Stegostoma tigrinum: one gene and its partners. The protein of the gene in region 1 interacts with the protein of each later gene in a pairwise test. Links are inferred from orthologs where the notes say so. Each region holds a gene or a part of one and is shown on either strand. Other genes may lie near its edges. The genes, in order: myoz1a, flncb and E3 ubiquitin-protein ligase TRIM63-like.

The links.
Region 2: the proteins of myoz1a (region 1) and flncb interact in a two-hybrid assay, tested with the Homo sapiens proteins (2 studies listed by BioGRID and IntAct). The link is inferred for Stegostoma tigrinum from reciprocal best matches to the Homo sapiens genes MYOZ1 and FLNC.
Region 3: the proteins of myoz1a (region 1) and E3 ubiquitin-protein ligase TRIM63-like interact in a two-hybrid assay, tested with the Homo sapiens proteins (2 studies listed by BioGRID and IntAct). The link is inferred for Stegostoma tigrinum from reciprocal best matches to the Homo sapiens genes MYOZ1 and TRIM63.

What each region holds. Positions count from the first base shown.
Region 1 is NC_081390.1:26,562,601-26,573,570, forward strand, and holds the start of myoz1a (myozenin-1a), read right to left. Parts: upstream 5,569-10,970; 5' UTR 5,403-5,568; intron 4,890-5,402; 5' UTR 4,862-4,889; coding exon 4,786-4,861; intron 4,064-4,785; coding exon 3,894-4,063; intron 1,282-3,893; exon of another isoform or gene 999-1,281; intron 1-998. UniProt on the Homo sapiens protein: Myozenins may serve as intracellular binding proteins involved in linking Z-disk proteins such as alpha-actinin, gamma-filamin, TCAP/telethonin, LDB3/ZASP and localizing calcineurin signaling to the sarcomere.
Region 2 is NC_081378.1:21,510,165-21,521,690, reverse strand, and holds the start of flncb (filamin-C), read left to right. Parts: upstream 1-6,897; 5' UTR 6,898-7,059; coding exon 7,060-7,396; intron 7,397-11,526.
Region 3 is NC_081377.1:30,187,524-30,198,283, forward strand, and holds the start of E3 ubiquitin-protein ligase TRIM63-like, read right to left. Parts: upstream 5,064-10,760; 5' UTR 4,914-5,063; coding exon 4,755-4,913; intron 3,892-4,754; coding exon 3,725-3,891; intron 996-3,724; coding exon 827-995; intron 1-826. UniProt on the Homo sapiens protein: E3 ubiquitin ligase. Mediates the ubiquitination and subsequent proteasomal degradation of CKM, GMEB1 and HIBADH.

The DNA of each region.
Region 1 (10,970 bases):
ATTCTATGCCCTGACTGATGAAGGAAAGCATGCTAAGTGCCTTTTTGACCACTTTATCCACCTGTATTGCCATTTACACAATAGATCGTGCTGCCCTTGTCAGTCATCTTTGTCACTTCCTCAAAAACCTCAATCAGATTTGTGAGACATGACCTTCCCTGCACAAAACCATGCTGCCTATTGCTAATAAGCCTATAAAGTGCCCTGGACATGTCCCTGATTTTCCACAATTTGTAGGAGGAGCATTCCACAGTGCCAATTTCTTCTGCCATTGTGAACCTTATCACCTAAACAAACCTTATGAACTGCAGACAATATTACAGGGACTGGTAATACAACTTATACAACTGATTAGTGGTATTATCGCTGGACTGTTAATCCAGAGACCCAGTTAACGTTCTGGGGACCCAGGTTCAAATCCCACTATGGCAGATGGTGGAATTTGAATTCAATAAATATATGAAATTAAGGGTCTAATGAAGACTATGAATCTATTGTCAATTGTTAGAAAAACCCATCTGGTTCACTAATGTCCTTTAGGGAAGGAAACTGCCGTCCTTACCTGGTCTGGCTGAAATGTGACTCCTGACCCACAGCAATGTGATTGACTCTTAACTGCCCCCTGGGCAATTAGAGATGGGCAATAAATGCTGCCTAGTAAGTGGTGCCCTCATTCCGTGAATGAATAAAAAAATCCCACTAATCACCAAACTCAGGTCCCTCACTCCTGCTATCTATTCCTCGTAGACTACAACTGTAACAACTAAGTATTTCTTTCCAGACACTACACACTCAGTCTGAAAACTTTGTTCCTAAGCAGCCAAGCCTATGTCATTTGTTGAGTTGTGACATTGTCTCTGGAGCTTAGATTCAGCTCCACGTTTGCTCTGACTGACTCCACTCCTCAGGTATTAATTCTGCTGTTGCTGTTCACTCCCAGGTTCTCTCTCCTTCGCTGTGTTGCTGTCACTGATCTAAAGTTTGTGTCCTCTTCACAGGTTGCATTCCCACCTCAATTTGCATCATCGGTAAACTTAAACGCCTTAATATAATAAACGCAAAATATTGCAGATGCTGGAATCTGAAAGAAGAACAGAAAGTGCTGGAGAAACTCAGCACATCTGGCGGCATGCTGGATGGAGGACTGAGAGGGAGGACTCAAATAGATGAGTTGGAATAATTTGAAAGGGTAGTTTGGTTATAACACTTTGATGCCTTCTTCTGCAAAAGAAAAGCTGTTTTTACAAAACTGGACAGAAATATGAATAAATTATTTAAAAGTTCTTCGATGTCACAAGTAAGGTACCAAAATGCTTAATTCTAATATATTGTGTAGACAGTTGATTTAATTGCAGACTTCAACACACTGTCTAATACATTACTGCGGAAACAAGCACTATGATAATGTCTATTATCACTACATTTCTCATCTCCACAGTCATCTTTGAGAAATCTACAATTTATTCCTTTAATTCCCATTGCATATCTATTTCTACTTTCAAAACTTCAACTGATCTTTTGAGCTTACAATCACACTTGCACAAAGTCGTCACTGTGAAGAAGTTTCTTAAGTCTACTTTTGATTGTTTTGGGCTTGATTGGGATGCTGAGGTTCCAGGCTACTTAATTTGATGTGAGACTATGATCAGAGAAGGGAATGGAATCAGTACCAACAGTATTCCAGCAGGGAGGCGATGGTCTAGTGGTACTTTCAATGGACCGTTAATCTAGAGGTCCAAATAATGTTCTGGGTACACAGGTTCAAATCCTGCCATGGCAAATGGTGGAATTTGAATTCAATCAAACATCTGGAATTAAGGGTCTAATGATGATCATGAATCCATTGTTGATTGTTGGTAAAACCCATCTGGTTCACTAATTCAGAAGGAAGCTGCCATCCTTACCTGATCTGGCCTACATGTGACTCCAAACCCACAGCAATGTGGTTGACTCTAAACTGCCCTCTGGGCAATTAGGAATGGGCAATAAATGCAGCCTGGTCAGCAATGCCCTCACCCCATGAATAAATAAAGTATAAAGCACTTGCCAAAAGTAATGGTTTTGGTCTCAGCTGGCATAATTGGATAAAACTGAGCCCATCAAAACTACGAGATAACAAAGTATGGAGTTGGATGAACACAGCAGGCCAAGCAGTATCTTAGGAGCACTAAGATACTGCTTGGCCTGCTGTATTCATCCAGCTCTACACTTTGTTATCTCCCATCAAGACTATGTTGGACAAGCAACCTGATAAATAATAGTACTGGATGTTCAAGAAAGCTGATAGAGAGGTAGAACTTTTGAAAGTGAGCCATGGCTCCTGAAATCATTATCAAGTTACAGCATTGGATGAAGCAGTATCATAAGGAAAGAATGAATATTGATGAGCTTCAAAGTTAACGATGCAGGATCAGAACAGAAACATTATTGTAGATGTTTTGGCAACAGTATACAATTAATAGGATTACCATATACTGCTAGTTCCACAGAAATTGACAGAAGTGGAGAGTAGAGGTTTTAGTTGAAATATCAAAGAAATAGAGATATCAAGGAGCAAAAAAACAGAAGTTTCTGAAAAAGTTCAGTAGGTATAGCAACACTTGTGAAGGAAAATGTTTTGGTCCAGTGACCTTTGCTCAGAGCTCCCCAGTTCTGAGGATCACTGGACCCAAAATGTTAACTCTGATTTTTCTTCATCAATAATGCTAGATTTGCTGAGCTTTTCCAAAAACTTCTGTTTTCGTTCCTGGTTCACAGCATCCACAGTTCTTTTGTTTTTTATTGAGATATCGAGGAAGTTGAGGGATAAAGTACTATAAAGTACTAGCCAATGTCATCCATGTCTTAGTTTGGTTGTCTCACTACTGTGAGAGTAATAGAATTTGAGAAATACAAACAGGGAATTGCACAAAAATCCCACAGATTTCAGACAGAAATGTATATTTAAAGACTTTGATAAGCAAATGGAAGTTGGAGCTTAGATAGTCGTTTTCAGGAAGACAGGAATTGCAAAAATATTTTGTGAGCTAAAAGGCGATAACATTTTGGAAATGGACTGAACCCATTACTAGAACATCTAGCATGGGGAACTGAGTAGTCAGCAGTTTATTGGGAATAGGATCAAGAGAACAGAAGATGAATCTCATGATGATGTGAGATAAAATGGGAATATTGGGGAAATGGAAAAGACTCTGGGGAGAAGAGAGGGAAACAGAGATTGTGACGAAGGCCCAGGAGTGAGAGAAATAATTCTGAAGCAAGATTCGGTTTGGTGAAGAGGGAGAAAAGGGAGAAAGCAGTAGAGGCGACTGAGTAGTTGGTATTTATCTTGGTGAAAATAAAGTCCAAGAAGTTCACATGCTTCTAGTTTGAGCTGAGATCTAAATGGCTAAGGTCAGGGGGTTTGTTGACAAGGAGAGAAACAGGAGTTTCTTTCCTCTCTCCCAGATAATCCAGTTGGAGCGATCAATTTTGGCAGAGGAACGTGTGGCTCAATATGACTTATGTGGTGAAGCCTGATCTGGAAATGAAGGGCTAAGTTGATTGTGTATGAGATACATTGGATTCTGTGCTCCTTGGACTTAAGGGAATAAAGGTGACAGGCAAGCCATGGACAGTGACTGGTATGAGAAATGGTAAATGTTTTCGGAGGAGGAGGTGAGGTGATGAGCTGCTATGCTCATGGTGCTGATGTAATTGGTGATGTGATGTAGCCATTGCAATGCAGTTCAGGATGAAAAGGAAACATTTGAATTTGTGGCTTCTGAAACTGAATTACTGAAGTAGCACACGTGTGTCAATTATATATAAATTGCTAGTAAATCTGTGGAAAGGAATTTGTATGTTGACCTGAAGTGACCAATATTGGATATGAAATGGGTTGTAATGCATACCATCGAATCTGTGTTAAAGACATCAGGATTTGATTCATAGATGAACCTTTCGACCCTGCGTTGCCTCTCTTTAAACATCAGGGATCCTTTATTCTTCAATAGTGACAGTTCCTCCAACATCACATCCCTTGGGATGCTGATTTTCTTCCCAAGGTTAATCTCGGTTCCGGCTTTGACAGAGAATGGTAAACACAACAAACATGAAAGATGTTAAGGCTTGGGACAGGAGAGTGGAACACACATTTGGCCTTGTGCCTTTTTGGGACTTTAGTCTGAAATATATCGATGGAGCTATAAAAGTGCTGCAAATGGCGAGACGCTGCTAACCTGTGGTCAATAAATCAATCACACACCATCTTCAGCTGTTACTACTGTCAGCAGCTTCTCCGAATTAAAGTGCACTCCTGTCATCTGAGAAGGCATACCTGGTTCTCCACAAATGTTGTAAAATTACAAGCTACTGAGAAAATGTGCAGAAATAAATCAATCAAACAGCATCTCTAACTTTTTTAATTAGCAGGTTAAAGAACTGAATAGCATGACAGAGTATTTTATAATTGGGTGTGTTGACTCATAGCCAAAAGGGTTGTCTTAAATAGAAAAGACAGGCTGAACAACACGGGTAAAATATGGGGCTTGTTGTCAAGTAGTTTGGGATTTTGAAAACCTTAAACCCAAGGAAATAGCACTCAGCAATTCTAATATTTTCCGAAGGAGTCCCCGTTTCTCACTTGAATTTGTTACAAAGTAGTTACAAATAAATATATACTGCAGACGAAATGACAATGTAATCTAGTAAGTGCTTTCAGTTATCTGGAAGGGGCCAGTGTTTTTTTTTAGGGAAAGCTACATTTGTCGCCTTGAGTGTGATGTTATAAATGCAGGACCTTACCATCCTTCAATGTTTTTGGAATTATTCTGGTTGTCCTTTTCTTCTTGGTTGGGGCAGGAGTTCCAGCTAGTGGCATCGTGGCTGGGGTCAGTCCTTTCTTCTTGCTGAACAATGAGTTAGGAAAAAAAAGCACACATCGATAGTGACATTGTACCAAAGAAATGGATCAGGACGTTCATTCATTAGTAATTCTGGAAAAGACAATCAAACGCTTGTCACTGGAAATAGTTAGGTTCAATGAGCTTAAATGCACAATATCTATTGCTTTAAGGTGGAGTTACAATGCAACAGTAAATGCCCTGTTAGCTCTTGATTCTGATCTCATATTGTACAGCATGCACAAACCTCACAAATATTTCAAACCAGCCTGTGAAAGAAGGTGGGAAAAATATTCATACATGCTTCATTCTTCTCATTTGCAATAGCGTGATCATTCCACAACTCTAATAATGTTCTGCTGGAACAAGCATCCCTGACAGTTTCCCTGATGCTTGAAAACTATATAAAACTGAATCAGAGCTTCAGAGAGCTTGATTCAGTGAGCTTAAATGATAAAAACAACCACAAACTTGTTTGATGTGTTACCACTGATAATGCAGCTGTTTACAATAACTTACCGTTAAATTTTCAACTGAGTCCTACTGGAATATCTGGTTGCTGGTTGCAGTTTCAGGTCAGAATTTTCTAAATCAAAATGAGCTAAGATGAAGTTTTGCGAAGAAAGGACGGAGCAGGACTTGTGTCTGCACAGCACCAAGTGCTGATGCAAAGTGCAGTGAATTTGATTCCAAATGCAATGTGCATCATTGAGATAAATATAGTATTGAAACAGGGAGCTCAGATAGCAGTGAGACAAGATAAAACCATGTGTGTAAGCAATCTTCAAACTTAAGGTTCTAACCAACTGCTCTGAGGGAAACGGAAACAAGCTGTGAAATTGAATAAAGACAAACTATCAATCGCAGGTAATCTCAACACACCAGTCACCTTCAGGGATTCTGAGATTTGTCAGATCTTCTACTTAATTTACAGGAGAAAATCTGGTGGTTTGTGTTTGTTGGCATGGGTCATTAAAGCCAGCAAGGTTTACAGGTTTGATCCCTATCCAGGTTTTATTTTGTTTGTTTCCAGCATGTGGGCCTCACTGGGTGGGCCAGCATCTATTACCCATCCTTTGAGCTACTTTCTTGAACCGCTGCAGTGCATGTGATGTAGGTAGACTCATGGTCCTATTAGAGTGGGAGTTCCAGGATTTTAACCTAGAAATGGTGATAGATTTCCAAGTTGGGATGGTGTGTGACTTGGAGGGGAAGTTGCAGGTAGTGATTTCCAGTATCTGCTCCCCTTGTCATCCCCTTGTAGTAGAGGTTGTGGATTTAGAAGATGCTGTTAGAGGAGCCGTGGTGAGCAACTGCAAAGCTTCTTGTAGATAGTATAGACTGCTGTTCTTGTACATAAGTGGTGAAGGGAGAAAACATTAGGGTGGTGCGTGTAGTGCCAGTCAAGCAGCTGCCTTATCCAACATGCTGTCGAGCTTCTTGTGTGTTGTTGGAGCTGGACTCATCCAGACAAATGAGGAGTATTCCATCACACTCCTGACTTGTGCTTTGTAGATGGTCCATAGCAGACTCAGGAGGTAATTCACTTGCTACCAATTTCCTAGCCTCTGACCTGGTCTTGTAGCCACAGCATTTCCACAACTAGTCCAGGTTTGTTTCTGGTCCATGGTAACCCTCATGATGTTGGTATGAGGGGATTCAGCAATAGAAATGCCATTGAACATGAAGAGTGGTGAGTATACTATTGTAATTAGCCTAAATGCCTTCAGTTGAGGGAAGTGTGAATTGAACATAGTTTTTATTGACTGGTGTTCAATGGATGGTTTGAATGGGGATTGAGGTGGCACCTGGCTGTCCTGTAAGAACAGTAACAATTTGCTGAACTCACTGTTGAGTTTCAAAATGTTATGAATGGATGAGGTAAAAGGTGAGTACAGTTACTTAACAAATTGCAGGGGTGTTTTTGCATTCCCATGCTACCATATGTGAGAATCAGGGTTTAATCATAGAATCATCATAGAATCCCTGTGGTGTGGAAACAGGCCTTTCGGCCTAACCAGTCTACATGACCCCTCCGAAGATCATCTCACCCAGACCCATTCCCCTACCCTTGCATTTCCCATGTCTAACCCACCTAACCTAAACATCCCTGGCCACTATGGGCAATGTGGCATGGCCAATCCACCTACCCTGCACATCTATTGACAATTTCTAATATTTCTGATCATTTGCCCTGCCGAACATAAAGTCACGGGATTGTCCAACATTTAAACCTATCATTTGCACTTCTTCAAGTCTGCAAGATTTCTTTCAAAAACTTCACTTTCATGGTCTTTCATTAAGAAACTGTGGAGTCAAATTTATCCTAGAGGGAAACTGCCGCAATGATTTCTGTTCTCATACCACACCATTACCTATAGAATCCCTGTGATTTTTATCCTTGTCCCGCCTTGTATCAATTTCTCTTCAACCATGTCATTGAAAGATAATGACATAAGGCTTCTTGTGTAAAATACTGACACCCAGCTCTCACCAGCACCATATCTCATGACCCTTCTATTGCTTCTATGTTGCTGGAGACCTTGTCTGAAAGGTAGTCATGGATAAGAGTCAATATCATTCAATTTAACATTGAATCCATTCCCCTTCCTGCTTTGTGTCTCAGATTGAGAGGTTTTGTCCACAACCTATGCATGTTCATTAGGATCCTGAGCTAAACTTGGATTCTATTATTCTCTCCATCACAAAGACTGACTATTTTCACCTTCACAACATTGCCTATTGCTGCCTTTGTCTGAGCTCACATGATGCTGAATCCCTGATCTATGCTGTTGGCACATCAGAACCTTAATATTCCAATGCATTCCTGATCTGATTTTCAACCAGCCTAAAATTCAGCTTTCCCAAAGCCCTGCTCCCCATATTCTAATTACTACAAAGTCTCAATCAACCATTATCTTTATGCCTACTGATTTATATTGACTATTCATCAGTCAATGCCTTGATTTTTAAAAATCTAATCCTTGTTTTGAAATCCCTCCTTGTTCTTTCCTTCTTCATCACTGTAATATTCTACATCCCTAAAATCCTCTGAGATCCCTGTGCTTCTCCAAATCTGTTTTTGGCTGATTAGTCAGTGTTAAAATCACATTATTAATGGAATGTTGCTGTTGTTGGAAGCATAAAAGGGATGAGAGTGCATCAGCAGGCCACTTACTTTCGCTGGAAAATGTAATTGAACTAGTTTGTAAAGTTTGGGCTGGATGTGAATCGGATAGATGTAAATGAGGCAGAATTTCATGCTCAATAAACTCCTTTTACTTCTGCAGTGTTCGTAAATTCTCTGTAGCCCCGAATTGCCCTTACTGATACTGATCCAGTGTTTTTTTTAAAGCTGTCAGCTGGTCCCAAACAATTCCCTTTTCTGGCAGTTGACTAGCTTAAAAAATAAAGGCTAATAGCACTGTTAAAATGGCATCTTTGTAAATACACAACCAAAGCAAATATGACCTATTGTCAAATCCTGTGTGGAGAATGAATCAAGTTTCATTGTCTTGATATTTGAAGAAGTAGTGAAATAAGGGCAGTGCGATAAACAAAATATCTCGCAAATCACAACCGAGTGAATGCTGACAATTACTGAAACACCAATGCTGTAACACATCAGTCTTGAATGGAATTGAAGCCTGGACAGTGAGTCTATAATTTGTTTCCAGCATGTCTATGTACAGTGTAACATTTAAATATTGTGATCTTCAAAAAACATAGCAGTTGCATACAGTGTGAGTTGAGCAACAACTAAATAGTTTTTAGATGCTGTGATGCTCCCATCATTATAGAGTAATACAACACAAGAAATCTTTCAACTCATCATGTTCATGTCAGCTCTTTGCAAGAGTCATCCAATTAGTTCAGTTTCCCTGATCTCTCCTGATGAACAGAGGAGCGATCAGACAAGAAAGTGGGGACAAGAAACTGCTCTAGTCTCACTGGATGGCACAGCAAGCTCAAGGTACTGTATGTTCCCATTCCATATGTTCTTATGTAAGTATTTCCCTTAAGTATTTATCCAAACCACTTTTGAAAGTTGTTAGTGCATCTGTTTTCACTATCCATTTCTCCCTTGACCCCTGCTAAGTATTCCTCTGTTGCTAAAATTCAGGGCTGTTGTAAAAGATAATAATGTATATGATAAACATTTGTCCATTCTTATAAACGTTCCAGGAAAAATTAATTGTGCTTCTGTCTGCATCATGTGTCTTTGGATGCAAAATGTCTTCTAAGTTACAATGATATAGTGTATTTTCTTAACTGAATATCAGGAAAATTTTATTTTGAAATGGCTCCCTATTGCTTTCTGTACTCAATAACATACCAAACATATGGAACTATAGATCTGTGAGTCTGACTTTGGTGGTGGGTAAGTTGTTGGAAGTGATTCGGAAAGTTGGAATTTATATGTATTTGGAGAAGCAAAGAATTTCAGGGAGAATGCACATGGTTTTGTGCAAGGGAAATTGTGTCTCACAATCCTGTTTAAGATTTTTGATGAAGTAACCAAGAAGATTGATGAGGGCAGAGTAGTAGACATTGTTTACTTGGACTTTAGTAAAGCCTTTGACAAGGTTCCACATGGTACACAAATTAGTAAAGTTACATCACATGGGATTCAGGGTGAGCTTACCAATTTGATACAAAATTGACTTTATAGCAGGAGACAGATATGATGGTGAAGGGTTGTTTTTTGGACTGGATGCCTGTGGCCAGTTGTATTCCATAGAGGTTGGTGCTGGGTCCACTTTTGTTTGACATTCATATAAGTGTTTTAGATGACAATATAGAAGGCATAGTTAGTGCGTTTGCGAATGACACCAAAATTGGTAGTCTTTTAGACAGAGAAGAAGGTTTTCTAAGATTACAAAGAGATCTTGATCAATTTCAGATGGAGTTTAATTTGGATAAATGTGAGGTATTGCATTTATGTAAAACAAATATGGGGAAAGACTTATACAATTAAAAGTAGGGCCTTTGGTAGTGTGTTAGAAAAGAGGCTCAGTGGTTCAGGTACATAATTCTTTGAAATTTCCATCAAACATAAATTGAGTGGTTAAGAAGGTGTTTAGCACGCTTGTCTTCAATGCTCAGGCCATTGAGGGTAGCAGTTGGGATGTCATGTTGAGGTTGTACAGGACACTGGTGGCCTTTTCCGGAATACCGCTTCCAGTTCTGGTTGTCCAGTTATAGGAAGGATATTTTGAAGCTGAAGTGGGTTCAGAAGAGATTTAGCTGGACATTGCTGGGAATGGAGGATTTGAGTTATAAGGAGAGGCTGGGACTTTTTTCAGTAGAGCATAGGAGTTTGAGGGGTGATCTTATTTAGGTTTATAAAATCATGAAGGACATAGATAAGGTGAGTGGCAGGTGTCTTTTCCCGCCGGAGGGACATTTCAAGACTAGGGAGCATACTTTTAAGGCAAGAGGAGACAGATTTTTAAAAGATATGAGGGGCAGTTTTTTTTACATAGAGAGTGGCTCATGTGTGGAATGAACTTCAGAGGAAGTGGATAGCTGTGGGTACGGTTACAACATTTAAAAGACACTTAGATAAGTACATGAATAAAAAACCAAGCGGAGGCTTGGGGACCGCTTTGCAGAACACCTCAGCTCGGTTCACAATAAACAACTGCACCTCCCAGTCGCGAACCATTTTAACTCCCCCTCCCATTCCTTAGACGACATGTCCATCATGGGCCTCCTGCACTGCCACAATGATGCCACCCGAAGGTTGCAGGAACAGCAATTTATATTCCGCTTGGGAACCCTGCAGCCCAATGGTATCAAGCTTCACAAGCTTCAAAATCTACCCCCTCTCCACCGCATCCCAAAACCAGCCCAGTTCGTCCCCTCCCCCCACTGCATCCCAAAACCAGAATTTCTATCCCCGCCTCCCTAACCTGTTCTTCCTCTCACCTACTTCCCTCCTCCCACCTCAAGCCGCACCTCCATTTCCCACCTACTAACCTCATCCCGCCTCCTTGACCTGTCCGTCCTCCCTGAGCTGACCTATCCCCTCCCCACCTATACTTTCCTCTCCACCTATCTTCTCCTCTATCCATCTTTGGTCCA
Region 2 (11,526 bases), on another chromosome or scaffold:
AGCTACAAATCTACCCAAAAACCTCAATGTTAAAAGTGCATTCCCAAATTTCTCAGTTTTGTTCAAAGTGCCACACAGCCTGTCTATGGACAGAGAATTGTGATTGGTGCAGCCATAGTTGTGTGTGTCCACACGGAGATGGAGAATGTTCCTGAGAAACAGCAACAGGCACAGATTTAAGTGGACTGGAAGAAGGATAAGAGCAAATATAAGTGGGAATCTGAGATTCCGTACATAATTTAGTGGTTGAGGCAGTTCAGTTAAAAGGAAACTGAACCTACGCTTGTAACCTGCAAGACTACAGATCAGACACTAGAAAGTGAAACGTAAATTGGGACTAGTTTATTCAGGTGATGCAGACATGATTTATTGAATCGCCTCTTTCTTTGCTGTAACCTTTCTGCAGTTCTGTGGTCCTGGAGTGTACTTCCATTAAGCAGCAGCCCCATTAGTAGCAGAATGACGTTTAAGGAATCATTCACCTTTCTCTTCAACGTTGTTGCCCATACAAGATCATTGCGTTCCTGCAAACATCATCTCCATCCATTACCAGAACACTCTGGCATACAGCACCCAGGAGAAAGTTCCTTTATTGCACAATTCTGCTTCCTTGCCTTTAATTACGCATGGCGAATTGAAAGAGGGCACCAATATGATTTCCTACACACTCAGTATTTCCTTCCTAACTCTGATGTTTCTGCCTGTGATTTTTCTTGACAGTGGCTGTGAGCTGTGCAATCCCAATTAATCCAGTATCATAACTGTGTCAGAGTATGAGGATAGTTTGTCAAGTGTTACTGAGAGGCTCCTACATTGAAGCTAGCTTTGGAACAATGGCAGAAATAGACAGCTGCCCCTTTCACTAGTCCAAATGTCACCTTTAGCCAGGATTTTACTGGTGTATGTGGGGGAGAATGTGCAGAAATGCTTTGAGTGTGCTAACGTACGGGGAGACAGTTCCTTGATCCATTACCTGCCTCTGCTGCTACTTTACGCTCGGGTGGGCAGACCCAGTTACAGGAATTAATGCCATTAAATCTGCCACTACCTTGTGACTAAGAACCTGCCCAATCGGGGAATTTTAGATGGCAGAACAAAGCACGTGTGGTGTCTGTAGTGAGTGCTTGGCAATGCTACAATTAATCTTGTGTCTCTTCCCAAGGTTGAATGCCATGATCTTCACATCCGTCAAGAGCACCCATCCCTGTTTCCAAATGCAAGAAGTAGCTTGATAAATCTCTCAGTGACTCTCCAATCACATAAGCTCTGAAAGTATCCATTACCTCAGCATCTGGGGGGGAAGTGAGCTGATATTCCATCTTGGTGTGTCCCTTCTCTGATTAAATTTTCATCAGCTCCTGCACACTCGTGTTTTGTGGATCACACTCAAAATAATCCCTGGACATCAGATGCACCAGGGTGAGGCAAGGGGTTTAGTTCAGGATAGATGTAGGAGTCTGGGACAGAGCAGGTAAAGAGAATAGTTTGAAACTGAGATAGGGCTTGGAGGAGAAAATGATGCAGTGGGATGTATTGGGATTGCTACCAAAGTCAATGGAGAGAGTGGTGCAAAAACAAAGTTGCTGGAAAAGCTCAGCAGGTCTGGCAGCATCTATGGAGAAGAAAACAGAGTTAGCGTTTCGGGTCTGGTGACCCTTCCTCAGTTCTGACCTGAAACGTTAACCCTGTTTTCTCCTCCACAGATGCTGCCTTACCTGCTGAGCTTTTCCAGCAACTTTGTTTTTGTCCCTGATTTACAGCCTCCGCAGTTCTTTTGGTTTTTATTGAGAGAGTGGTGCAGTTGGATTTGTTTGCGACTTATACAGAGCAATGGGGAGAAGATGCAGCATTGGAATTAGTTGGATTTGTACAGGGATACAGGGACAGAAAGGGGCAGTTGGGGTGGTTTACAATTGATAATGTAAGAAGGGCAGGGGCTGTTTTAGATGAAGAGCGATAATGAAATACTGTGGCAGTTAGATTAGCTTGGAATTGATAGGAGGCTACGAGGAATGAGTAGGTAATGGAACTATATTGGGATTGTTACAGATTTTAGGTGAGAATTGAGTTGTGGGATTAATTTGGGATTGATACAGGTCATAGAGAGAGAAAGAGATCGGTTTGGGACTAATTTTGAGCTGGAGAAAGTAAGTGGGCTTGGAGGTTTTTACTTGGGTTTCATATCGAGTTTTGGGAAGTGAATGCAGCATTCAGATTAGTTTTTCCAGTGTTATAGGGAAAGAGCGGGTCAATCGAATTAGTTTGTGACTGATACAGGTCTATGGGAAGAAAGTGGAGTGGAATTAGTTGGAATTGATACAGAACTATAGGAGGTAGTGACATTAGATTGGGACTGATAGAAGGCTCTGGGGCAGAGTGTAGATCAGTGGTACTATTTTGGGATGGATATGGGGCTATGGTGAGAGCATGTGACAGGGAGTTTGGGATAGAGTCAGGCCTACCTGAGAGTGTAAGGCAGGGAGTTTGAGGTATGGTTACAGGGAGACAGGTAACAGGATAGTTTGGATGGATATGGGGCTATGGGGAGAACATGTGGTAAAGTTTGGGATTGACATAGAACTACAGGGAGAGAGCATATATTGGAATATGTCTGGGATTGTTTTAATGAGCTAACTCAGATGCATTGAGCTAAGTGGTCTTGTTCTATGCTGTGAATTTCCCTAACACTGTGTGGTTTGAAAGTCTAAGCTTTTTGATTCCCAATGAAACAGAGAAGAGATACCCAATCCTATTAAATAGCCTGTTTTGTTCATTAGGAGTTCTGTTTTGTTTTCAGAAACCTAAACTTAAAGAAAGCTTGAAATGTGAAGATAGAGAGTTAACCCCAAATTCTATGCGGACAACAACAGTTTGAACTTATATTGCCTTGGACACAGTTAAATATCTAAAGGTACTTTGCAGCAGGCTTAGCAGACAAATACTTGAGAATGAGTCACATGAAGAACAATTTAGGAAGATGACTAAAAGCTAACTTTCAAAGAGTGTATTAAGGACAGGGAAGTGGAGAGATGCAGAGGTTTAGGGAGAGAATTCCAAAGCCTTGGTCTGAGACTGAAGGCACAGTCACCATTGGTAGACTGATGGAAACGGGGGCTGTGTGTGAGACCAGATTTAGAGAAAGGGAGAGCACACGGAGAGTTGTAGATCTGAAGGAGAAAACAGAGAGACCATAATCATTCTTTGCTGTCTGATGACTGACTCACCCAGCTACTGTCTATTTGTCAGTAAAAATGCTCTGTGAATATTCTTGCAAATAATTTCATTGATCATCAAGTAAGAAATATCATTTTTTGTAAAATATTGTAAAATGAGACTCTGTATTGTACCAGTGTGTATAGTTAATGCTGTCCTTGTCACTCAAACATTGGCATACTGCTAACTGCTCTGAGTGTAGATTGGAGTGAAAGAGAAACAAGGAGACTGAGTGGTGGCCCAGCACTGAATTGCCTTCCTTTCAAATCTGTGTTTTCCTTTTCCTCTGGTTTGAACTCTGGTATGGGCTTTATACCATGTTTTTGCCTCTCTTGGCCAGTTGAGTTCTGTAGTCTCTCCTTTGTTGCTTCACTGAGACCATGCTTTCAATTACAAATAAAAATTTGTACGCTGCATTTGTGAGAAAAATTTCCTGGCAGTCAAGCACCTCAAAAAAGATGAGGCCACGAAGAGTCCTGGGCTCCACTAGGGATGGGGTCTGGGGGAAATCTGACCCCTGTCCTGCCCCCAACATGGGGGAGACTTGTTACCACATCCCCACAAATGTACCTTCACTCCTGAGATGAGGGTCTCAGCAAGTCGTGACCAACCCTAGAGATGGTTTCTGGGGAGTCCAGCACTCCTCCTTCCCAAACCACTTCTAATTTCTCAAAATGGGATTCCTGGGCATCCTTGTCTCCTTAAACCCCTCCCTCTTCCCCACCCAGAAATGGTGAAATGATGTACTGGGCAATCCTGGGTCCTCAGCAATGTCTGCCTGCGATACTTCCCATGTTGTCAAATAATATTCTTTGTTCATTTATTGCTGGGGCTGTAATCGGTGGAATGTATTTTGCTTATCAATGGTTTACTATTAAATATATATTTCAAAGTGATACATTTTCAAAATATTCGTGTTTTTTTTTGACAAATCGTGACGAAAAACAATTAAGCCACTCATTAGCCCTATCCTTTATAGTAATAAGAAATGAATTTGAAATTCACCCTCTAATGCACATGAGTGATGACAAGACAATCACACAGATAATATCAAGGTATTTCACCCTGATGTCAGGAAATTTACCCCAACAATATCAGGGGAGTCAGCCTGCCACCAACAACATTTTCACTCTGAAAGTCCAACGCAGGGGAGAAAAAGAAAGCAGTATGAGTGAGAATGAGAGATCAGAGCCTCATTTGGATATTAGTCTAAGTAAAAAGAATTAGCTGGCTTGGAAATGTAGCATTTAATTGGGTCTGTCACTGGATATGTGGTTTAGGCACTGATCGGGAGCCAGAGGGGCAAAGGCGATGACTGGATATCTCAACATTGGTCTATGAGGAATGTCACACACAGCTCACACAACTAATTCAGAGGCTGACTGACCAGTGAGGCACCTTTAAGATATGGAGAAAAACAGATTTAATTACTTTCATGCAGCGTCCCTGAAGCTTTCAATAGTGAGTTGCTACATTGCTGAGTGATGATGCCTGGCCCCTGGCAATGATGCCTCATGCTATATTCGATCAATGAGAACATGTGTACAGCTATTCCTGGGAAGGGGCAGGAATAAATGTATAAAAATGAACTTCTGTCATTCTAACACTGACCCTAGGATATTCAGAAATAGCAGCTGAGCTCAGTAAGGCTGGGACTGCTCTCCGGTAACTCCTACTCACTTTCTGTTTCTGGAATCCAGTCGTTTTTAGGAGTGGGAGGATAGGGGTACAAATGGAATTGGGGGGTGCACAGTGGCTGATGTGAAAGACAAAAATGTATTAATGCAGTGAATGCAGTTGGGAAAGGAGAGGGTATTTACCCAACCTCTAGACAGTTGGCACATTGAATACACCGACAGGGATTCCCCCACCACACCGCCCCCCCCCCCCCACCCTGTCATTGCTTACACTGGGAAGGATGCAGGTTAACCCAGACTGGTGAGTTCACAGAATTGTAACATGACAGGAGTGACATGCCTGTCCTGACTCTCTGAACAATGCACCTAGTGCCATTTCCTGCATTTTTGTGATAACCCTGCACAAGTTCTCTTTTCAAGTAAAAACCCAACATACTATTGAGTGCATCAATCCACCACGTTCTCAGGCAGCGCATGCCAGATCTTAACCACTTGCTGCATTCCACATCTTCTCCCCATGTTTCCTTTGATTATTTTGCCAATTACCTTAAATTATATCTTTCAGTCTTGATTGTTCAACCAGTAGAAACACCTTTTCCTACCTGGTTAACTCCACGTAGACCCCTCAGGATTTTGAATACTTCAATCGAGTTTCATCTCAAGCTTCAAGGTGAACAGTTCCCAATTTCTCCAGCATACCTATGTAGCTGAAGTTCCTCATCTGTGGAACCAATCATAAGCATATTTTTGCACTCTTATTAAAGCCTTCACAAATTTTCTAAAGTGGGGTACCTAAAATGGAATTGAACAGTACTCAAGTTGGGGCTGAGACAGTGTTTAATGCAGGTTTAAGATAACCTTGCTGTTGGACTCTACACCAGCACTACTCAAGCCTAGGATACTGTATGCCTTGTTAATTGATCTCAACGTGGTCTGCCACTTTTGATTACTTATACCCCTAATTCCTTCCATTCTTGCATCCCCTTTGGAGTAGTACCCTTATATTTTGCATTCTTCCAAAATGAATCTCCTCACTCTTCTCCACATTGAATTTCAGCTGCTACATATCTGCTCACATCACCAACTTATCTACATTCTTTGCAGTTTCACATTGTCCTCCTCACAATTTAGAAAACTTGGAGCGAATCTATCAGCCACAAGTTTCAAAATTCTGTTCTGAACCACATAATGAATATAGATCAGGTAAAACAAGGCTCTCAACACTGACCCACTATAAACCCTTCTCAGAAAAAACTTCATCAAACACTAAATTTGAAGTATTGCAGATGCTGGATATCTGAAATAAAAACAGAAAGTACTAGAGAAGCTCAGCAGATCTCCCAGACTCTGTGGAGGGAAAAGCGGAGTGAATGTTTTGACTCCGCTGAGTTCTAAGTCAATGGATTCAAAATGTGAACTGCTTTCTCCGTGGACGCTGCCAGACCTGCTGAGTTCTTCCAGTATTTTCTGATTTTTTATTCCATTAGCCACTACTCTCTGTATTCTGTCACTCGGCCAACTTCCTATCCACTTGCTACTGTGCCTTTTAAATCGGAGGTCTAACTTTGCTCACAAGTCTCTCCATGCAGCACGGTATCAAATGCCTTTTGGAAGTCCATGTTATTGACACCAACAGCATTACCTCTCGGTGTTATCCCTTTCGGAGGGATGGGGGTGGAAAGTGGGGGAAGCCAGCAAGTTGGTTCAACATGATTTGCTCCAGTTAGCTCATTGAATGGTGGCGAGAGGAGACAGGTCAGACCCTGGGTGGAGTTAAACTGAGCTCTAGAGTTAACCCATTGAATGGAGAATGCACCCAGAGTGGGGTTCAACTCAGGCTGTTATTAACCCATTGAGTGGAGAGAGGAGGCTGGGTTAACCCATTGCTATCCTCGATGCTTTGAGGTGCTAACGGAAGGCTGCAGTCAGCGGCTATGACGAGCAGCATGACCTGGCTCTGGAGTTTTTATACGGCCATGGCCTCGGGATTCCTGGCGAGCCTGCTCTCTGACGTGGGCCCGGAGCAGCCGTCACTCATTAAAAAGTGCGGCGGGGCCACCAGCGCGGCCATTCGGCGGCTGGTAGCCGGGCGGAGAGGGTGGAAGTGAGAAAGAGAGAGGACCGGAACCGGGAGTGAGCAGGAGGGGGGAGTTACCGCGGCGAGACCCACTCTGTAGAGTCCGGAGAAGAAGTTTCCCGGAGGCGGACGATGGAGCAGCAAGAGGCGGCGGCCAATGGCCAGGAGGACGGGGAGATGCCGGCTACTGAGAAAGACCTGGCGGAGGACGCTCCTTGGAAGAAGATCCAGCAGAACACGTTCACCCGCTGGTGTAACGAGCACCTCAAGTGTGTGAACAAGAGGATCGGGGACCTGCAGAAGGACCTGAGCGATGGCCTGAAGTTGATCGGATTGTTGGAGGTGCTCAGCCAGAAGAAGATGTACAGGAAGTACCACTCGCGGCCCAACTTTCGCCAGATGAAGCTGGAGAATGTGTCTGTGGCGCTGGAGTTCCTGGAAAGAGAGAGGATTAAACTGGTCTCCATCGGTAAGAACAACTCCTTCCCCCTCCCTTTTCCCCTTTATTCCCCCTCCCTTTTCCCCTTTATTCCCCCTCCCTTTTCCCCTTTATTCCCCCTCCCTTTTCCCCTTTATTCCCCCTCCCTTTTCCCCTTTATTCCCCCTCCCTTTTCCCCTTTATTCCCCCTCCCTTTTCCCCTTTATTCCCCCTCCCTTTTCCCCTTTATTCCCCCTCCCGCCTTTTCTCCCCCTTCCTTCCCCCGCCCCCCGCCTTTTCTCCCGTTCCCTGCTTCTTCCCCCCGGGAAGGGCAGTCCCGGGTGAGGCGGGGGGGGGGGGGGTGTAATTCCAGTCCCAGTCCCCTCTTTCCCCGCCTCTGGCTCGGCTCCTCACTGAGATCCACCGCTATTGAGTTTTAAACCCATGGGCTAGTTTTCCTTTTTTCTTCCGACAATAAAATATATTATTGTAAAGACGTTTAAAATTCACATGTTTTTTTTTGCCAAGAGCGTCAGTAAGCCGCGCTCGCCAGCCTCTGGAAGGAGCGGCGGCATGGTTAATGCTGAACTTCTCCCGAAGTGACGGCGAGCTTGTTGGAGAGCGGGTTGTTATTTCTCGGTCACTGAGGCTTGTGGAAGCAAATTCAATTATTTTAAGGTTCCGCAGGAAAGCGAATGGTTTGTGTGGGAAAGTTAGGTGCCTCACAAGGAAACACCAACAAAGTGTGATTTATGTGGGTAGTTTTTTGTAAAAGCTCGTACAGTCACGATGGACCAAATAGCCGTCGGCGCTACGATTCTGTGAATATTACGCTGACTTGAAGTCTAACTTTTCTATTTTATACAGAACCTTGTCACATATCTCAATATGGCCCAGCGGTGCTGGAGCTGCAACTAATTCTTGGCAGTGACTTATAGGTGAAGGGAACAGCTATTAAACCCGCAGCAAGATTCCCACAAATGGCAATGAGATGATTCTCTTCAACACTGAGTCAGAAAGTGTGTCTGAGTCTGACTGCAGAGGCCTGAGCCCAAACTCCAAACTGACCCACTTGGGAGTGTGCTGTATGCTGCCCTGCCCTGGTGTGGGTGCTGTCTTTCAGATCAGACCCTGTCTATGCACTTGGATGGATGTAAAAGCTCATATGCTGCTATGTATGGGAAGAAGAGCATAGCCTGACTAATATTTATAAATAAGGCAGAGTCTGGTTACTGCTGTCTATGGAATCTTGCTGTGTAAATTCCTGCAGTATTTCTGAATAAATGGGACTATACAGCAGAAGGAATTAATTAATATGAAGTGAGTTGGGCTGCACTGAAGATGTGAGGACAGTGATTAGAAATGCAAGTCTTTCAGTATTTGTGACATTGGTAGAGGGAAAAATGTTAACCATGACACTGGAAGAATTTCTTAACCTTCACTCATTGGGTTTTGTGCACCCAAGCTGAACCATGGGCCCCTGGCTAACATTTCAGTTGAAGGACCAGTACAGCTCAGTACAATACTATCATCTGAGATCATTGGTTTAAGTGTATGAGTGACAGGGTGTGAGTGTCCTGCAGTTGTTAATTTTAACAGGTGCAGAAGTAGAGATTTGTAGAAATTGGCACAGCCTCTGTGATCACAGGAGCTTCTGTTAGTTGGGGGGGGGGGGAGGAAGAAGTTCCTAATTTCTGGCATTGATTGGTGGCTGAAACAGATTAGGACAGCAGAGCTAAGAACAGTTGACTGAGTGAAATGTCAGATTTCCACATCCCCTTAATCACTAAGGTGCCCACTTCCACCCCTTGTCAGTTTGCCAGTCTCTACCTTGGCTCATCTGCTGCTGGAACCCTCATTCATGGCAGTGTTACCTCTAGAATCAAAGTATTTCCATGATCACTGGGCCAGCCTTCCTTCCTTCCGCTTGCCATACACTGCAGCTTGTCTGAAACTCTGCCTGTGTCCTAACTCACTCTTGCTGCTGCCACTACATGCCCCCCCCCCCCCCCCCCCCCCGACTCAAAAACAAAAATCCCTGTGCTTGCTGATCTCCACTGGCCACTCATCCCACCAAAGTTCTCACCCTTGATTTCAATCCATGGTCTCCTGCAAGCCATCAGAAATCTTTGTACTATTTTAATCCTATAACCATTGGGGAATATGCCTTGAACTATACAAACCCTGGTTGCTGGAATTTTAGCCCTATCTCTTAAGTTACTGCTTCAGACTTTTGGTCATGTGGGCTGAATATTTCCACACTCAGTTCCCTGTTGATTTTTGTAGTAACTTCTCTTGTAAAGTGTCTTATGTTAAATGTGCTGTACAAAAGTAAGTTTGTGCAGCAGTGAACATGGCTGCCTGCCTGCTTGTCAGTTTAATTTGTAACAGTGAAAATGTCAGAATGGTAGTGGGGGGGACTGTTTCTTGCTGCTTGCTGTGAGAGCTCAGAATTAAGCAGGCAGTGTTTTAATTTAGTCAGTGCACTAGATTGTTGGACAAAGTCAGTAACTTCATTGTAGACAAGGTGGAAATTGCCAGGCAGATCAAGCTCTATCAGAAAGCTACAGTTCAAGTTTTGCTGTATACCCACAGGACACTTTGAGAAAAGTGTTCAGTGAACATGAATGTCTAAATCCAGCTGCCTTGATAGATGGATGAATCTTGTATTTATTTTGTACATTGCCAAGTCCCTGAAGTCAGACTTGAACTCGCAACTTCTTAATTTACAAAGTGAGAGTTATGACCACAAAAGGAGAGGGACCGATGCTTAAGCCTCTGGTTGAATCGAGTGGCTCATTTTAACCTTGGGTGTCTCAAATTGCCTTGGTGTCCCTGAATGGCAATGGGCCTTTCAGCTCTGAGTCTGTTCCATCAATCCAGTAAAATGTATCAACCTCTGTCTTAAAATAAAATTGATCCAACATGATGAATGAATTGGGTCTCAGTTTCTGCCTGCCCCCCCCCCCCCCCCCCCCCCAAAAACAAAAAATTTGAGTCTGAGAATCATTCTGCCTAGTAGCATCCAGGCTATCCTGACCCTGAGGTGATTGGTTACCCAACAGTGGTTCTGTGCTTTACCCTTCCAGAATATTCCCCACACGTTTGCAAAGTCACGCTGGTCCCAAGCTGCTATCCATCCCCCTCCTCCATGAACTGAGCTCAGGAGCTATATACAGCTACCCGTGCAGCTGGCTGGAATGTGTCAGTGATAACCTTGGAGTCTGACAGCTCGCGATGTCGCACTGCTCCCTTCCTGTCCCAGTGCTCATTTGTCTGACTGCTGGATCCAAACCATGCTGTGCTGTCAAATACCCAAATCTCCCCAGGGTGTGACTGGTTCACTGCAGCAGTTTGAGTATAGAGTGGGAAACTTTGATAACTACCAGGCTGAATCTGCACTAGTACATTAGAGTTTCTGTTGTTTTTTTATTTGCAGATAACTTATCTCTCCTATATGCCAACTACATTGGGGAGAGAAAAATGTTTTTCCCCAGGAAACCCCTACTACCTCACGCCCCTCTTTCAAACAATACACCCCCTGCCCCCACCCTCAAAATGGCAGCACAGTAGCTCAGTGGTTTGCACTGCTGCTTCACCAGCGAGAGGGAACAGAGCTCAATTCCACCTTCTGATGACTGTGGAGTTTGCACTTTCTCCCTGTGTCTGTCTGCATGGAATTCTTCCCTCAGCCCAAAGAAGTGCAGGTTAGGTAGATTGGCCATGCTAAATTGCCCAGTGTCCAGGGATGTGCGGTTTAGGTGGGTTAGCCATAGGAAATGTCAGGTTACAGGGATACAGTGGTGGGGTGGATCTGGGTAGGATGCTGTTTAGAGGGTCAATGTGGACTCAATGAGCCGAATGGCCTGCCTCCACATTGTCAGAATTTAATAATTCTATGATTCCAACAGGCATCCTTTTGTGAGAGAGATTAAGTCTCTTGCAAACCTTCCCACTCTGAAGTAGCAGAGAGAGGAGGTCCCAACACAGGAACTGAGGAGCTTTAATCCCACGTGATGCCGAATGACTGAGTTCCCTTAGCATAGCTACGGTTGAGAGCCTGACAGTGTATCTACTGTTGATATGAAGCTGCCTTATAAATAATTTTGCTACCCTTTTAAATCTAAATTAAGATATACTGACATTGGATGGTTCAGAGAAGGTTGTCTAAGTTGATTCCA
Region 3 (10,760 bases), on another chromosome or scaffold:
CGTTTGCATGCCATTTGAGCCAAACGCTACGTACAAATTTCCTGTCTTATTGTTTTCCATTCCTCAGCTACATTTCCTCAATTCCCTTCTCTTTCCTGTCAGGTTATGGATTCATTATGACATGGAATGCAGTCACTTGGCTTATCAGATGCATGCTTTTATATCATTTTATCCCACTATTTCATGGCCAGAGCTATGCATGTGGTCGAACCAAAGCTCTAAGCAAGTTTAAGATAATTTCTCTGCATTGAATTCCAATCCTCATTAAAATGAACCCCAGTGCTTTGATTGTACATTTTAAAGGAGTAGTTAATATGACTAGCCCAGCTCTTCCACTCCCCCCACTGCATCCCAAAACCAGCCCAGCCTGTCTCTGCCTCCCTGACCTGTTCTTCCTCTCACCCATCCCTTCCTCCCACCCCAAGCCACACCTCCATTTCCTACCTACTAACCTCATCCCACCTCCTTGACCTGTCCGTCTCCCTGGACTGACCTATCCCCTCCCTACCTCCCCACCTATACTCTCCTCTCCACCTATCTTCTTTTCTCTCCATCTTCGGTCCGCCTCCCGCTCTGTCCCTATTTATTCCAGAACCCTCACCCCATCCTCCTCTCTGATGAAGGGTCTAGGCCCGAAACGTCAGCTTTTGTGCTCCTGAGATGCTGCTTGGCCTGCTGTGTTCATCCAGCTTCACGCTTTGTTATCTTGGATTCTCCAGCATCTGCAGTTCCCATTATCACAGTTAATATGACTTGTCAGCTTTATTGATTTTAAATGATTTGACCCATGCCTGTCCTTCCTTTCGCTTCCTGAACCATTCCTCACCTTTTGCTGTTGAAATACATTCTGCAGGGGAGCCACCTCACAGTCCTTGTGGGCACCAAAGACCTTGCACATTGAGCAGGTGGGAACTTGGCAAGAGATGCAGTAAATGTTGATCTTTTCATCTTCGTGCTCTTCACACATGGGCTGATTGCCTTTCTTTAAGGGTCGGCTGTATGTCAAAGGAGCAGATATACGTTCATCAGTATGTTGTCAATCATAAGGAAATATTAGAGGAACGATGTGAATTACATGGAGTTTGCAGCACAGAAACAGGTTGTTTGCCCATTCTGGCCTCTGGTGGTGTTTATTTTCCATGTGAGCTTTTCCTCACCCCTATTCATTTCAAGCTATCCCTGTCTTCTCCCTTCACCTTATCCACCTTTCCCTTAAATGTATCTTAACGGAAATCTCTAAAGACACACAGTAGATCTGTGCGCATAGAACAAAAATGAAAAGCCAGGTAATTGCACCAAAACATATCCTGTTTCTTTCAGATGCTGATGAACTGTTTGTGCTTTTCCAGATGTTGCTGTTTGGATTTCAGATTTCCAATACTCAGGGCTAGTTGTCTTCAATTCCTATTGAGTGATTGTGCCTGTTTTTGTTTTAGTGATATAAACCGACACCACCCCAAATGCCATTAAGTACCTGTGCATCCTGCACCCAGCAAATGCATGAGGCTTTTGACACAACTAATACAAGAGAGTGAGCTATAACATGATTGGAGGTATATGATTTTGAGGAGGGAGTGGAAGGTATGGGTGGATGTGCTGAGTGGCTGTGGGGTAAAAAGGAAGCTTAAAGACAGCAGGATTAAGAAGTAAGCATCTGCACCAAGTGAGACGTACAAGATGTAACATGGAGGGGAGTCTGGATGTGGTGGAGAAGGTGCATTAAACAGTGAACCCAAATTAGAGGGCAGCAGTAGGTTTGGATGTAAGGCTGGGAGAGTTTTAAAAATTCATTCGCAACCAGTTGACATTGCTGGCTTGATTGTCATTTATTGTCCATCTTCTGTTTGGCCTTAAAAGGGTCATGGTGGTTCCTCATCTTTAACAACTATGGCCTGTGAAGAAAGTGCTCTCACAGTATTGTTCCATAATTTTGATTCACTGATGAAGGAATGGTGATATTTGCCTAAGTCAGAATGAAGTGGATTCAGAAGGGAACTTGCAGGCAATGGAATTCCCATGTGGCTGCTGCCCTTGTCCTTCTGGGGTTCAAGCTACTGAGATGAAAATCCTATCCTCATTGTGCCAGCTCTTCCCTATCACTGGTGATGAAAGCCAATCACTGAATGGTACTTAAACGGTCATAGTTCTTTAAAATTATTTATTCTTGCTGGAGCTGCATTTCAGAGATGATCATTGTTCATAAAATTAAATCTCTTACTATTAGACGTTCTAAAAAATACTGTTTTATATCAACGTATTATGACATTTTTATGTAACTAATTTCATTCATGGCCAAGTGTTTTTTAAAGGCACAGCTCAGCAAAGCTGGGTAGTTACTGACCGACTATTTTTAAACATTTAGAAACAGCTGGACTAAAGAACATTTGTGTCATCGTTACCAGTTGAAACCTTGCCCAGATGACCTTGAGAATATGAATGCGGTGGGAAGTCACTGTAACTTAACATGGGGAGTGAAAAAAAAGTTCTTCAGATGTTGTTTCATCTGATTTTCATCTAAAATATGTACCCTATGGTCAATCGATTCCTTCTTTTCTACCAATAGAATCTGAAATGGAAAAGTAATTTTCCTTTATTTCACATCTTATCCAACCCTCAGTCATTCCCCACAGTGATTGAAACACAAATCATTGCTTTTGAAGGGACACCACTTGTTGCTCCATAGACTAATTAATGTAGCGCAACCTTTGCAGACTCAAAATAATTCAAATTGCAGGTGATGTTTTATATTAGCTGCAAAGTTGTTTTATCCTAATCTACACTGAAAAGTATGATAAAATTCAGAAAACTTTAAAGGCCTTCTGGTTTGTGAAATCAGCATCTATTTCACATCAAAAATCTTACAGTTGCTCCACATACTTTGAACTTTTTATCTTCCTCTGGTCACATTTACAATGTTTATTAAAAATTGGTGCTTATTAAAACTAGTTACACTGTAATTACACCCTCCTACCAGTGAAGGCATTGTAATATTAACATAAATTGAAGGATGTTATTACATAGGATTTTTCAATTCAGAACATAAGATCTTTGCTGGCATTTACACTCATTGTGGGCCTTCTCCCAACTGCCTTCTCCAACCTACTTTCTTGCCATGTCAACAGATCCTTTTATTTGTTTTTCTCCATGATGTATTTATCTAGCTTCCCTTTAAAACCATCTACAATAATCTCCTTCAACCACTTCATATGGAAGCAAGTTTCACTGAGTTAAGAAACTGCTCCTCAATTCTATATCAGTTTGATTAGCTATGTCTTAATTTTGTAACACCCTTGGTTCTGGATTCCCTTACAGGTGGAAACATCTCTATATCTGCTCCATCAAAGGCCTTCATAATCTTCACTGTGAGTTGTTCACGTGGGCAGTTTCCATTAAAGAAGGAAACATATGAACTTGTAACAGAACTGTAGAAGTACACACAATATATAACAAACTGAGCTAGCATCTTTGTAACTCAGTCCAACTGTCCCTGAACTTATTCCCACTTCAACTGAAAAATACAAGATTTGGGTTCTTGATGTGTTCACATGATATCTCAGCAAATACCTCCAGGAGGCATCATTGCAAGCAATGCATAAGACGTATCATAATAATCACTTTCCCAGCCTGGCAAACGTATTTCCATCTTCTCTTCCCATCACCCACCTGTACCTCTGACCCGAACAACAAGCTTGATGCAGAAGATGAAATGGTTCCCCAAGCTAACCTGATTCCCTCTTCCTTGTAGATATCAATGATGTTCTCCACCAGTAGGTTCCTCTGCAGTCCATATACCCCATGACGGTCCAGGATAACTTCATGTCGACAGGATGGGCACCTGAACCTACCTCCAGAAATCATGGTACCTCGACCCTGCCAATATGGATTAGCAGCCTAAAAAAAGCACATACATATATGTATCTAGAAAATGTTTAGCACAAGCTCACAGGTTAGCACTGTACCAAAACTGGATGCAACATTATACCTACTCATCATTTTTAAAAATAATGTCAAAAGATATCACACTTTTTAAAGTTTCTGCTTTAAAAGATTTTCAGAAATACTTACTCACCTAAAGGTTTGTTAAATTTTATATTAAAGAGGTCTCCCTAAGTCTTGAAGATCATTCCTATATTATAACAGTAACTTTACTTGAAAAATATACTTCATTGATCATAAGATGCTTTGGGACAACCTGACATTGTGAGCAGTGTTAATGAATTCAAATTCTGCCTTACATCCTAGCTTTCTAATCTGTCTTTCTTAACTGCCAATAGTGCAGACTGTGCACGGTCCAGGTTCACTTTTAAGTTTATGTTCAACTAGCTGATCTCAGACTTCAGTTGAGTTGCTGCAATTGGCTTCAATGGCCTTGGTCTGAGGAAATGGGGAGAAATTAAACCATGGCTCCCATTGGAGTTAGTGCAGGTGCAAGTGAGGTATGGGGACACAGGAGGGACAGCAAAACTCCAAGTTCTATTTGTATAGCACTCGTGGCATGGTGCAAACATCCCAGGGCATTTCACAGGGGTCATATTAAACAATACTTGACACCAAGCCACCAACTGAGATATTAGGACAGAGGATTGAAGTCAATATCTGTGCCTTACTGCAACCCAGCAAGTGGTCAGAGCTCTCCACAGAAAGTTGGAAAGGAGTTACCCATTTCCAAATGTTACTGTCTTTGAAAGTTTGGAACACTGATAAGAAACCCCAGTTTGCCGAGTTTTGAATGGACACAGCTTAAAAGCACTAACCTGGAATACATCATTGGCACATTTTCTGCACAGATTGTGTTGGCATGGCAGGATCACAACCGGCTTTTCAAACATTTCAAGACAAATCGGGCAGATGAGTTGCTTCTCCAGTGTCTCCATCGTGCTGGATTCTCGGATAATATTCGGCTGGAACTCCATCTCCAAATATAGCAAACACCACTTAAAAACCTGCTGAGTTGCGTTGCCTTTTTCTTCTCCCTGTCACTCTCGTTGCTTTCAGACAAATTCCGTGTTAGTATCCTCTTCAGAAGAGATTCAGTGGAGCTCAGGCGTCGTGATAAGATTACTCCTTGTTCCTTTTCTGTCTGTGCATGACAGCTCGTCCTTTTTATAAAGATTTCCAGTGTCACATGATAGCTGAGGTGGGGGGTGGGGGAACCTAGTCCTCAACATAACTTTTCCCATATTAGAAACTTGCAACGTGAAACTGAGAACAAGCAGGACCCGGAGATGCAGTCACATGTGACACTCAGAAAAACAACTTACACAGAAAGAATAAATAAAAATAAAGTTGCTAAACATTTTATATAACTGCCAATCGATCAAGGTGAGTAGAAAACATCCTGTCCAAAATGCCCAACAAAAACAATTTTGTTTTCACTGTGCATCAAGGGAATTTTGAAAGCGCTTTGACAGGATTTGTAGACAATCGTGAACATTGACAATGAGGGAGGAAGGCATTAGAAAGTTAATGTAGGGCTTGGTTATCTGGATACTTCTGAAAGCAGGAAAGGAGATTGTGAAGAAGTGCAGTCTTTTGGGGATAGGGATACTCTCAGAGCAGGGGATGTGATGGTGGAAGAGTAGAATGAAGCATCCAGCAGCCAGGAGTGAAATGAAGAATAGGCCTAGCTGGGTTTGCTTGGTGAGTCCAGAAATATTTTAGATGTGGCTGATATTAAAGAAAATACAAATCCTTTCCACTTATCAATTGCAAAGATTCTTCAGCTGTTGAATTTAAAATATCTATTAAGAGCCAACGACATTGACACCCCAAGAATGAAGTTTGTAAAAACCAGCAGATATAAGTCCTGGAGTTTCCTCCACATATTTGCCCAGCTGCCTGAAAAGTGTTCAAGCCAATCTAACGGCTTAAAAATTGGACATGTGAGTCATGAGCATAACTAGAATAACATTCTGATTTTCCTCAATGTTAATAACCACGGAAACTGTCCAAACAGGTTTCCACCCACACCACTGGAGACAACCCCCTACAACCCCAACTCTCAATTACAAGTAACTCGATTGTCCTTGTTTACAAATCTCACCAGGACATCTCGTGGTACCATCACAATCTCAGCCACTGGACCAGAATGACTGGGTGTCAATCCCACTGCAGGTTTTAATGGCCAAGAAAGGTATATTCATAATGGCCAAATATGCTGAGATCAATTGACAAAATCCTTCCAACATGAGCCAGTGATGGCGTTTAAGGAAAGGAGATATTCCTGATCAGCCATGTGATAGAACGAATATCGGACGCTATGCCATCACAACCTACAATTCTGACTGCAACACACATTTTAAAATTTATTTACTTATGGGACATGGGCATTGCTGGCTGGCCAGCATTTATGGTGGTGAACAATTAAACAACTCACAGGAGGAGGACACTCTACAAGTATCCCCATTCTCAGTGAAGGAAGAAGCCTGACACATCATTGCAAGAGATAAGGCTGAAGCATCCACAGCAATCTTCAGCCAGAAGTAATGAATGGATGATTCATTTTGGCCTCCTCCAGTGGTTCCCCAGCATTATAGATACCAGTCTTCAGTCAATTCAGTTCACTCCACATGATATCAAGAAAGGAATAGAGACACTGGATACTACAAATGTATGGGACCTGACAAATTCTGGCAGTAATACTGAGGATTTATGCTACAGAACTTGCTGCTCCCCTCACCAAGCCATCCCATTATAGTTACAAAACTGGTATCCACTCAACAATGTGGAAAATTGCCCACATATATCCTGTACACAAAAAGCCAGACAAATCCAACCCAGCCAAATACCACCCCATCATTCTAGTCTCCATTACTAGTAAAGTGATGGAAGCTGTCATCAACAATGCTATTCAGCATCACCTGCTCGCCAATAACCTGCTCACGAACACTCAGTTTGGGCTCCACCAGGGCCACTCAGCTCCTGATCTCATTACAACCTCAGTTCAAACATGCACAAAAGAGCTGGATTCCAGAGGTAAAGTGAGAGTGACAGCCTTGACATCAAAGCTGCAATGTAGCATCAAGGAGCCTTAGCAAAACTGGAATCAATGGATTCACACTGTCACATGGGAAGATCGTTCTGATTTTTGGAGGGTATCTCAGCTCCAGGACATCTCGGCAGGAGTTTCTCAGGGCAAAATCCTAGGCCCAACCATCTTCAGCTGCTTGGTCAACAACCTCCCCTCCATCATAAGAATGTTCACTAGCGATTGAACGATGTTCAGTACAATTGCTACTCCACAGATATTGTAGCAGATCATGTTCAAGAATGATTCATGCCACATAAGTGCCAGGCTATGATCATCACCAATCTAACAACCAACCCCTTGACATTCAATGGTGTTACCATCATTGTATCCCCACTGTCAGCATCCTGGGGCTTATCATTGACCAAAAACACTGCTGGACTCACCGCTTAAACACTGTGGCTACAACAACAAGTTAGAGGTTAGGTATACTGCAGTGAGTAACTCATCTCCTCAATCCCCAACGCTGCCACATTCTACACCATCACTTGCAAATTCCTTTCTAAGCCAGTCACTATCCTAGATCAAAGCCCTGGAATTCCCTTTTTAAGGGTATTGTGGGTTCTACCTACTTCACACGGTCTGCAGTGGTTCACTGCAGAACCACCTTCTCAAGGGAAATTAGGGAATGGCAATAATTTTTCTTATTCATTTGTGGGATGTGGGTGTCGCTGGCTGGACAGCATTTATTGCCCATCCCTAGTTACTCTTGAGAAGGTGGTAGTGAGCTGCCTTCTTGAACAACTGTAGTCCACCTGCTCTGGATTGACCCACATTTCCATTTTGGAGGGAATTCAGGGAATGCAGTGAAGGAACGGCAATATGTTTCCAAGTCAGTATCATGAGTGGCTTTGAAGGGAGCTTGTATCTGCTGTCTAGTCCTTCTAGATAAAAGTGGTTGTGGGTTTGGAAGGTGCTACCTAAGGATGTTTGGTGAATTTCTGCTGTGCACCTTGTAGATGGTACCCACTGTTTTACTGAGCATCTGCGGTAGTGGGAGTCAATGCCTGTAGATATGGGGCTAATCAAATGGATTGCTTTGTCCTAAATGGTGTCAGGCTACTTGAATGTTGTTGGAGCCACACCCTTCCAGGCAACTGTGGAGTATTCCATCACACATCTGACCTGTGCTTTGTAGATGTGGGCAGGCTTTGGGAGCCAGGAAGCGACTTATTAATCACAGTATTCATAACCTCTGACCTCCGCTTGGAGCCACTGTGGTTTTGTGGTGATTTCAGCTGAATTTCTGTTCAGTGATAACCCCCAGGATCTTGATAGTAAGGGATTCAGTAATGGTAACACCATTGAATATCAAGAAACGGTGGTTAGATTATCTCATATTGGAGATGGTCATTGCCTGGCATTTGTGCAGACTGAAAGTTACTTATCACTTGTTGTCCAGATCTTTTTGGATTTGAAAATGGACTGCTTCAGTATCTGAGGATTCGCGAATGGTGCTGAACATTATGCAATCATCAGCGAACATCCCCACTCTGATTCCACGATGCTGGGTAGGTAATTGATGAAGCAGCTGAAGGTGGTTGGGGTCAGAACTCAATCCTGAGGAGCTCCTGAAGATTTGTCCTGGAGCTGAAATGACTGAACCTCTAATAACCACAACCATGTGTACTATATGACTGTAATCTGTGAAGGGTTTGCCACCAACTCACATTAATACTAGTTTTACACGTAAAAATGCAGTTGCCACTGCGATTCACTCCTTGAGTGAACGATAACACACTCAAACATCGCACCACATGACAACCAGACTTTTAAGTGCAGCAGGAAAGAAAGATTTCTTTTTTTCCGCTGCTCTTTTAATGTTTAAAAATTTATTCATTCTTAGGAGGAGATTGCTCCTGGTGAGTACAACATTTGTTGCCTATCCCTAATTATCCTTGAGATGATGCAGTGAGCTGCAGTCCTGCAAAGACTTTCCAAGATTGTGAATCAGCAAAATGAAGAAACAATCAGGGTAGTCAGTGTAACTGTTGCTGTTCCACTGTCTGCTGCCTTTGAACTTCCAGGTGAAAGGGATTCCAGGTTTGAAATGTGTTGTTGAAGGAAAATTGCAGTTAAGGATTTTTAAAAAATATATTCTCACTGAGAACAACTCTGAATGAACTAATCTTTGAATGGCTTTTTCTGGAACAGTGTAAGTCACATTAAAAATTTCTCCACTAATCTGGAATGGCAGAGCGGGCTCTAGGGACTGAATGGTCAACTGCTCCTCTTTTGTGTCTGGTTGTGCATCGTACATGAATGGCGGTTAGTTGAGATTAATCTTTTAATTTTAAACTCAGAGAAGTAAAATACACCTTCCACCCCAACCTCAAGTTCACCTGGGCCATCTCCAACACATCCCTCACCTTCCTGGACCTCTCAGTCTCCATCTCAGGCAACCAGCTTGTAACTGATGTCCATTTCAAGCCCACCGACTCCCACAGCTACCTAGAATACACCTCCTCCCACCCACCCTCCTGCAAAAATTCCATCCCCTATTCCCAATTCCTCCGCCTCCGCCGCATCTGCTCCCACGATGAGGCATTCCACTCCCACACATCCCAGATGTCCAAGTTCTTCAAAGACCGCACCTATCCCCCCACAGTGGTTGAGAATGCCCTTGACCGCGTCTCCCGCATTTCCCACAACACATCCCTCACACCCCGCCCCCGCCACAACCGCCCCCAGAGGATCCCCCTCGTTCTCACACACCACCCCACCAACCTCTGGATACAACGCATCATCCTCCGACACTTCTGCCATCTACAATCCAACCCCACCACCCAAGACATTTTTCCATCCCCACCCTTGTCTGCTTTCCGGAGACACCACTCTCTCTGTGACTCCCTTGTTCGCTCCACACTGCCTCCAACCCCACCACACCCGGCACCTTCCCCGCAACCGCAGGAAGTGCTACACTTGCCCCCACACCTCCTCCCTCACCCCTATCCCAGGCCCCAAGATGAATTTCCATATTAAGCAGATGTATACTGTATCCGTTGTACCTGGTGTGGCTTCCTCTACATTGGGGAAACCAAGCAGAGGCTTGGGGACCGCTTTGCAGAACACCTCCGTTCGGTTCACAATAAACAATTGCACCTCCCAGTCGCGAACCATTTCAACTCCCCCTCCCCATGTCCATCATGGGCCTCCTGCAGTGCCACAATGATGCCACCAGAAGGTTGCATGAACAGCAACCCATATTCTGCTTGGGAACCCTGCAGCCCAATGGTATCAATGTGGACTTCACCAGCATCAAAATCTCCCCTTCCCCCACCGCATCCCAAAATCTGCCCAGTTCGTCCCCTCCCCCCACTGCATCCCAAAACCAGCCCAGCCTGTCTCTGCCTCCCTAACCTGTTCTTCCTCTCACCCATCCCTTCCTCCCACCCCAAGCCGCACCTCCATTTCCTACCTACTAACCTCATCCCACCTCCTTGACCTGTCCGTCTTCCCTGGACTGACCTATCCCCTCCCTACCTCCCCACCTATACTCTCCTCTCCACCTATCCTCTTTTCCCTCCGTCTTCGGTCCGCCTCCCCCTCTCTCCCTATTTATTCTAGAACCCTCACCCCATCCCCCTCTCTGATGAGGGGTCTAGGCCCGAAACGTCAGCTTTTGTGCTCCTGAGATGCTGCTTGGCCTGCTGTGTTCGTCCAGCTTCACACTTTATTATCGAAGTAAAATGAATTGTGAAGTTTGGCATTCTTCTTGAGCCGTGAATGTATA